Oreochromis niloticus: one gene and its partner. The protein of the gene in region 1 interacts with the protein of each later gene in a pairwise test. Links are inferred from orthologs where the notes say so. Each region holds a gene or a part of one and is shown in the gene's direction. Other genes may lie near its edges. The genes, in order: tada2a and sf3a3.

Region 1 (3,928 bases):
AATGACAGAGGGGGTTTTTTTCTTTGAAGAGTGGCGAAAATAATAAAGATCACATACATATGATTTCATTTATTCATTTTACTATTTCACTTTTCTAAATGGGATCCTTTCAGAAGAAGTCCAGCCTGCTAACATGCTGTAATTTTATTTAATATCGTTTTTAATAAAGGCGCTTTTCACTTGGACTGGGTCTGGGGCTATGTCAATAAACTGCAGTAAGAGAAGTGAAGGAGGAAAAGTGAAACAGATCATCTCCATGTGTCTGTGAAACCTTTTGACTTTATATTTTATATTATATTTTATATATTATGCTTGATATTATTCGTGGACTGTTGTACATGTATAGAAAAAACAATAATAAACAGCTGTCAGCAAGATTAAAAGAAATTTTACCTTTAATTTGTCTATCCTTGTACCATTAAATATTATTATTATTTCAACTACATATTTATATTCTTGTTTAAATTTCCTTTCATACATTTTATAATTGTTACATTTATATGTTTATTTGTGTATCGTGATTACATTTTTAATAGTTGTTGTGAGCCAGCCAGGTGAAAGGTCAACCGCATGACACATTTGCCAGAGGGCAGACAGTGCCCTCATTTGAATAACGAAGCAAAGAGAATAAAAAAAATAATAAATGGGGAAGTAGTACTTAGGTGGCATAAAAGAGGGTTCACCTTAAAAGTATAGTGGAGTGGTTCGATTACTGGTCCAAAGCTATGTGCAAGAAAGTTGGCTTTTGGGTCGTGCAGGACATTACTGAGGACTTTTTATGACCTGCTGAGGTCTATTTGCAATTTTTTATGCAGTTTTACTGCTGGGGAAGAACCAGAAACAACTTAATACTCTAATGAAGAAGGCCAGCTTTGTTATGGCCCGTGCACTAGCCACAGTGTAGGACGGACCACTATACTTGTGTATGTATTATCATTCCCACTGCACTTTATATACATATGTTTTTTGTTTTTTTTAATATCTGTGATCTGGCTTTTAGTGTATACAGTACATTTTCTGCAAAGTAAAAAAAAATAGTCTTGTATTTAATTGATTTTTGCATTTTTTTTGAAGTATTAGCCGTTTTGTTAGTCTTGTTTTTTTCATTGTTTTCTAATATATCACTAATTCACATGTTGTCTCTGACCCCTATGCTGCTGTAGCAAGTAAATTTGCCCGGTGTGGAATAATATAAACTCTATTTATCTAGCCGTAATATAAATACCAAATTACATTACATGTATTACATTTCTTAGTTAGTTACTTAGTTAATATTTAGGGCCATTTCTGCAGTCACTGATTTTAGTCTTATCGGTCCTCCTTATAGAAAATATATCTACGCTGAGTACTGAGTTATCTGAGCTCGATTAGCTGTGCCTTCACAATCAGGGTCACTTGCAAGCTTTGAAAAATAGATGGAACCTAAACGTCGATTCTGTTATTAGTTTCATTTAAACGTAATATTATGGACCGCCTAGCATCTTTTGCAAGTAAGTTTTAGTAATATGTTACAGATACACGTGTCCACTTGAGCTTTAAAGTATAATCATCTATCATTTTTTAGGGTTATTTTCCCAAGTTAGCTGTATTAAGCTAGCTCTGCTACGCTAACATTAGCGTTAGCGCGCAGTGATGCTAACACGGTGTGTTAACTTCTTTAACAGTCTTCAGTGCGGTTTGTTATTGAGCTGCTTTGCAAACGGTGATGAAACATTATCATACATGGCGCTTTAAAGTTAGCATGTGTGGTTTAGCTTAAAGGTCGTTTTAAAGCCTATTTAATCGAAAGCTGCAGTCTTGTTTACATTGTAAGCTTATTTCATGTAAAGTAATGTCAGGTGATTTCATATACAACCCTACCTGGTGACTTAAAGTGTTAAAATCACGTGATTTCAGATGACCCCTCCGATAAACCGCCGTGCAGAGGTTGTTCATCGTTTCTGACTGAGCCTTACATCAAATGTGCAGAATGTGGACCGTCACCTTTCCTGCTGTGCCTCCAGGTGAACCGGTCACAAAAACTGTTAAATTTACCTGCAGACAAACCCAGTCCAACTGAAACTAAACATTTTGTTTCCCTTTAGTGCTTCACCAGAGGATTTGAGTACAAGAAGCACCAGAGTGATCACAAATATGAAATCATGGTGAGTGAAATAAAAAACAAACAAACAAATGAAATCTTATCCAGTGTGGCTGTCTTTCAACATGAATGTTCATCTTTCACCCCGTTATGCAGACGTCAGATTTCCCCGTGCTGGAGCCTGGGTGGACGGCCCAGGAAGAGATGGCCCTGCTTGAAGCCGTCATGGACTGTGGCTTTGGAAATTGGTTAGTATTTTGTAGTTGTTTGGTAAGATTTCCTCAAACTACATACACATGTCCTTATTTCTTAAAAACCCTACATGCTAAGATTATGGCATGCAGTCCAGTTTCCAGAGGCAGGGTACACGCTAAACAGGTCATTGGTCTGTTGCAGGACTAACACAGAGACAGACAACTGTGGACACTCACATTCATCTACTGTCCCTTTAGAACAACAAGTTAACCTAAGAAGCAGTCTCTGGACTTTAGGAGGAAGCCAGAGTATCTAGAGAAATCAACAGTGACAGGGAGAACATTGCAAAATCCACACAGAAAGGGCTTATTTGGCCTGTGGCTTCAAACACAGCTTCTACTTGCTCTTAGGCAGCAAAGCTAACCACTAACTATTTTCCAACATAAATGGTTCATTTAATGGCAATTGCATGTCTCAAAGCTAATTTTTCAGATCATGTGCATAATAAAAGCTCCAAACATCTGTTACCGACAGTAACATAGTGCTGAGATAACAAGTGAACGAAATGTTGCAGAGAATTTCTCTTGTTTGCTTCTTTGTCTGCAAACTCCTACACAGTCAGGAGTTAAGCAAGCAAACTTGGCACATAGGTGTGTCTTAGGAACCTGAAAGTTCTTATCTATATCTGATGTTACAATGTTATGTTGCCCAGGAATCACCTAAAAACAGACAGTACATGTTGGCCTGTTTATGCTGTTGACTAACTGATGTACTTAATCAAACTGAGAAAAGTTTGAAAAAAATGTTGGGATGGGATGTTGTTTATGTAAATAAATAGGAAGTAAATATTGGACTGATTGTATATTTATATAGAGCAAAATGTAGCTACATCTATGTATGGTTAAGGGACCTTTAAGGTTTTGTTCAACCAATTGCACACCCATATAGTAAATGAGGATTTTATAACTTAACTATTCATAATAGTTGCATATTTATGGCTTCAAATCCCATTTCCTTAAGTACATTTAAACAGTTTTTTTTATCCAACATTAAACATTTGATATAATCCTGAAATGCCGTAAGCTTAACTCAAGTGATGTAACATTGTTACTGTAAGGGTCACAATTTGGAGATGTTGCAAAATTTGATTTTATGATCAAGAAATTAAAATGGTACAATGTTTTTATAAGGACATATGTGCATAAATGCTACAAATGGGTCATTTTTTTTAAAGATGTTGGTATGTGGTTGCTAGGCAACATGATGTCATTATATTATCTGGTTAAATATATATATAAGGACATTCAGGGGCCTAAGGTTGGTTTGGTGGCTCAACTCCTGAGAGTGTAAAAGCAGTTTGTGGACAAACAAAGTCACAGAGATTTTGTGTATTTGTATATTTATCATGTTGCCTGGCAGCTACCTAACAACAGCCTGAGCAGTTGCAGCATACCCACAAAAATAGTTTACTCTTGCAGTTCTGTTAATCCTCTTTTTACTATGTAAGTATATATTCAGTTGAGCATACTAGTCTTTCAAATATACCTTTTTTTATACAGTAGGCCCCTATTTATTTTCTATCTACTTTTCTCAGTGTTATCAAGTTTATCAGTTTCTCAACATCATGAATTGGCCAAACACTACTGTAGCACA
Region 2 (3,928 bases), on another chromosome or scaffold:
TGAGCAGCTCACCTTTATAAGCTGGCTGGACGTATGTGTTATAAGCTCCACTGTTTATTCTGTAAATCCGCAACGCTGCTCGTCCGCTTCTTTTTACTGTCCGCTGCTTTGACTGACTGCTTGAGAATGTGGTGAAACCGCGACTGTCACGGTAGCGACCGTTACGAGCACAGTTTCCGGTTTAATCTGTCAAAATAAAAGCCTGTGGCTTATTTTCCCCGAAGACTGCCTATAAAAAATAAGATTCATATGCTGCAATACACTTTAACTCAAATGAGGTTAAAAAATTACACTGGCGATCTGTTAAATCTCAGAAGTAATTTTTCACTTGTGCACGAGTAGACCTGAGGCTTGTAATGTCCATTCACCCAATGTCAATACTCATAGAATAGTTTTGCACTCGTTAGCCTATTTGCTTTATCTTCCCTGATCCTACTGTGTAACATGTTATTTCTAACCATTAATTTTTAATTTGGATTTTATTTTGATACCAGTGAAAATTGCCGAAAAAAATAACAAGGAATAAACAAAAATGTCAGTCTATAATGCAAACTAGTTCAGATTTTTTTAACTGAATCAAGCAACTGATTTAAAAAAAAAAAAGCCCTCCGAAGAAGATGAGAAGAAGAGGATGAATGGACGCATTTTATGTTAAGACACAGAGTTCACACTTCCGGTCTATTTCTCTTTTACCAATCCGACGCTTGACGGCTCCAGACTGCCTTCGTGCGCGCGCCTACGCCAGGGTGCGCTGTGTGTTATGTCAGGCTTTGATGATAGTGTAGACTACAAAGGAAGTGCAAAGAGAATACCGAGCACGCGGCACAGACCGTGCACGGTGTGGTGCCAACCCATCACGTTGAAAAAGTGTACTTTTCAGAAGCAGTTTTTACATTTCAGTAATGTAAAGACCAGGGATCCTCTTGAAAGGAATTGCTGTTATGCCCATCAACTCATCTAGCTAAAAAGGTCAAAATATAAACGAAACCATTACTTTCAACAATTTGTGTCAAAGGATTTCACGGTAATTGTCTAAAAATAAACTGGAACCAGTGTTATTATTAACTGTCGAAAGGCTTCAGATAAAAAAATATAGAAGTATTGTACACAGACATTACCACGGCGGAACCCTTCCACGGGTTCATGTTTCTCTTACGGCTAATACAGTGCGGGCCGTTAGCTCGTCGACATGCGCCATTGAAAACAAACGTACAAGATACGGCGGGTATTGCCGCTTTCCTTCATTTGTATTCTACCCCATTAGAAACCTTAATTCGTCTTTAGCAAACGTTCGACATTTTTGCGGACAATGGAAACTATATTAGAACAACAGCGTCGCTATCACGAAGAGAAAGAGAGGCTAATGGATGCTAAAACTAAAGAAATGTTACACAAGAAGTCGACGGTGAGTGGTGCCACTTAAGGCTAGCTTTAGCATTGTTACGCTTGGTCGTGAATCCCAGAAACCCTGAAATTAACATTTTTCTGTGTGTTTTTTTCCAACTCTCGTTTCAGCTGCGTGAACAAATAAATTCTGACCATCGAACAAGAGCGATGTTGGATGTAAGTAAGAGTTTGGACTCATTTAAAACTGCTCTCACCAACTGGCTAATAGTATTTGCTGGAAATTCAACGAATAACTAACCTTTCATAAAACCCCAGTTACAATTTTGTAAACGTGCAAAGAACAATTTATTAGCAGATTTGATGCATTTTCATACATTAATCACAGAAAAGAGGTCAGATAAAGAATGTAATCAGATGTACTGAATGAAGCGGTGTCACAACGAAATGACACTCCAAAAATCTGCCCCAAGTGCATCAGAGGTCATTAAAACTAGGTGTAAAATATAAATGGTTAAAACCTGACTTCAGAGACGCACATTGGAGACAAAGAATCACTTTTGATAATTAGCAACTTTTCACTGTTAATGGTCAACACTGGTAAAAAGGTATCTGTGCTTCTTCTTGCAGAGGTATATGGAAGTGAGCGCAAATCTCAGAGACCTGTATGAAGACAAAGATGGGTGAGTGTTTTCTTAGCGAACAGTTATTTCCACTCAAATATAGATATGTTGGCTGGACCTTTGTGCGGTTACAGGAGTGGAGGAACAAACTTTTGAGCGGTTATTTGAAAAGTAGACCAACTAATGGTGTATTCACATGAGAAGCCTGAAAAATCTTGTGACAGTCAGGATGGGGACGTATTTCTAAGTTGCCCTTTCTTACATGTAGCACATGACGGGAGATGGTTAACGTCAGCTCCAATCTCACCACTTCTGGAAATGATGTGAATCTGCTATAGCAGCAGTCCCAACCCCGGGCCTCGGACCGGTACCGGTCCGTGAGTCGTTTGGTACCGGGCCGCGAGAGTCGAGGCTCAGGTGTGAAATGTATGGTTTTCAGGGTTTTTATCGGTTTTCAGCGTTATTTTGTTATCGTTTTTATCGTTAACTCGGTTTTCCTGGGTCTTTTCACGTGTGTTATGAATAAAGCTTCTTTTTTTCGGTACCGGCACTAGTTTTATTTTGTTGTATTTATCCGCGACACCTTATTGCCGGTCCGTGAAAATATTGTCGGGCATAAACCGGTCTGTGGCGCAAGGTTGGGGACCGCTATGCTATAGGGCTGTTCAATATAACGATATATATCGGATGACGATATAAAAACATCTATCGTTTCATTTTACGCTATCGTTTGTTTCGTGGTGTCGCAAAATAAGCTGTTTACGGCAATATTTTTTCATTATTTTGATGGTCACTGTAGTGGCTATATTAATTTCTTAAAGTTCTCTCTTTCTCTTATATTTAATATAACCACACTACAGACAGACAAGCAACTGTTTTTATCCGTTGTCGTTAGCAACAACGACGGTGAAACCACCTCGTGTCCGCTTGTTTATTTTCCACATAAACCTTTCACAATAAAGCTCAAGATCCTGTTGAGACTTTTCAAAATAAACTGAATTACATGAAAGAGTATGCAGAGTGTTTATGGATGAGAGTCACCAGGTGCTAAAAAATAAACCTTAGACTCAAACGTTAGAACAGGCTTTTCCCCGCAGCACGCCGTGTGATAAATACTCACAAAGAAAACGGCGGCCGTTACAACCTATGTCTAAAAATGTATAGTTTCATGCATCGGTTAAAACACTCGACTCCAAGTACACAACCCCAAGCTGGAAACACTTCCCGGAAGTCGAGCTGCCAGAGATTGACAGAATTTACAGAAAATGTTAAATTTTAGTGATTTATATCGTTATCGGGACGATAGATGTCTTAATATCGGGATATGAGATTTTGGTCATATCGCACAGCCCTAATCTGCTAGACTATTGCCTGCTCTACTGTGGCATTGTTGTTGTTCTCTAACTTGGGATTCACACACACACGGGTTTATTCACCAATCTAGTAGCAAATCACTCAGAAACACGACAGCTAGATGACAATAAGAAATACTTTATTTATCCCATATTTCTCAAGTTTTGTTGGTGCAGGAGTTTAAATGATGAGGAAATAATAGTAATATCACAAAATGCCCCTCTGTCACACACAGGAGACCCATCGTCAATGAGAATAGCGCTACACCAAACCAATTGTGTGCCTCTTCTAGACAGGTTGCAGTAAGCAGCACAGAGGAGCCGGCTACTGCAGCTGGGCATAGCAGTATGTTAGGCATGTGAGCAGGATAGAAGACCAAATGACACCAAATTGTGAAGACAAATGTGAGCTGTAGCATTACTGAAGACACCTGAAAGGACATGCCCAGGGCTCACAAGATGAGGACACTGTTGGAAAAGACGGGTCCAAAGAAATATTCTGGAGATATTGTGGTTATTTAAAGTCTGATAAAGAATCGGAGTAGCAAACCGTGTCAAAGGCATATTTCCATAAAGGCACATAACCAGGGGTGCACATAAGTGGTCCGC

Evidence for each region.
Region 2: the proteins of tada2a (region 1) and sf3a3 interact in binary tests that used the Homo sapiens proteins (3 or more experiments, as listed by UniProt). The two-hybrid records come from large-scale screens. The link is inferred for Oreochromis niloticus from reciprocal best matches to the Homo sapiens genes TADA2A and SF3A3.

The regions. Positions count from the first base shown.
Region 1 is NC_031979.2:27,871,221-27,875,148, reverse strand, and holds the start of tada2a (transcriptional adapter 2-alpha), read left to right. Parts: upstream 1-1,338; 5' UTR 1,339-1,465; coding exon 1,466-1,490; intron 1,491-1,896; coding exon 1,897-2,003; intron 2,004-2,084; coding exon 2,085-2,144; intron 2,145-2,236; coding exon 2,237-2,328; intron 2,329-3,928. UniProt on the Homo sapiens protein: Component of the ATAC complex, a complex with histone acetyltransferase activity on histones H3 and H4. Required for the function of some acidic activation domains, which activate transcription from a distant site. Binds double-stranded DNA.
Region 2 is NC_031985.2:38,727,354-38,731,281, reverse strand, and holds the start of sf3a3 (splicing factor 3A subunit 3), read left to right. Parts: upstream 1-816; 5' UTR 817-1,309; coding exon 1,310-1,405; intron 1,406-1,515; coding exon 1,516-1,563; intron 1,564-1,974; coding exon 1,975-2,027; intron 2,028-3,928. UniProt on the Homo sapiens protein: Component of the 17S U2 SnRNP complex of the spliceosome, a large ribonucleoprotein complex that removes introns from transcribed pre-mRNAs.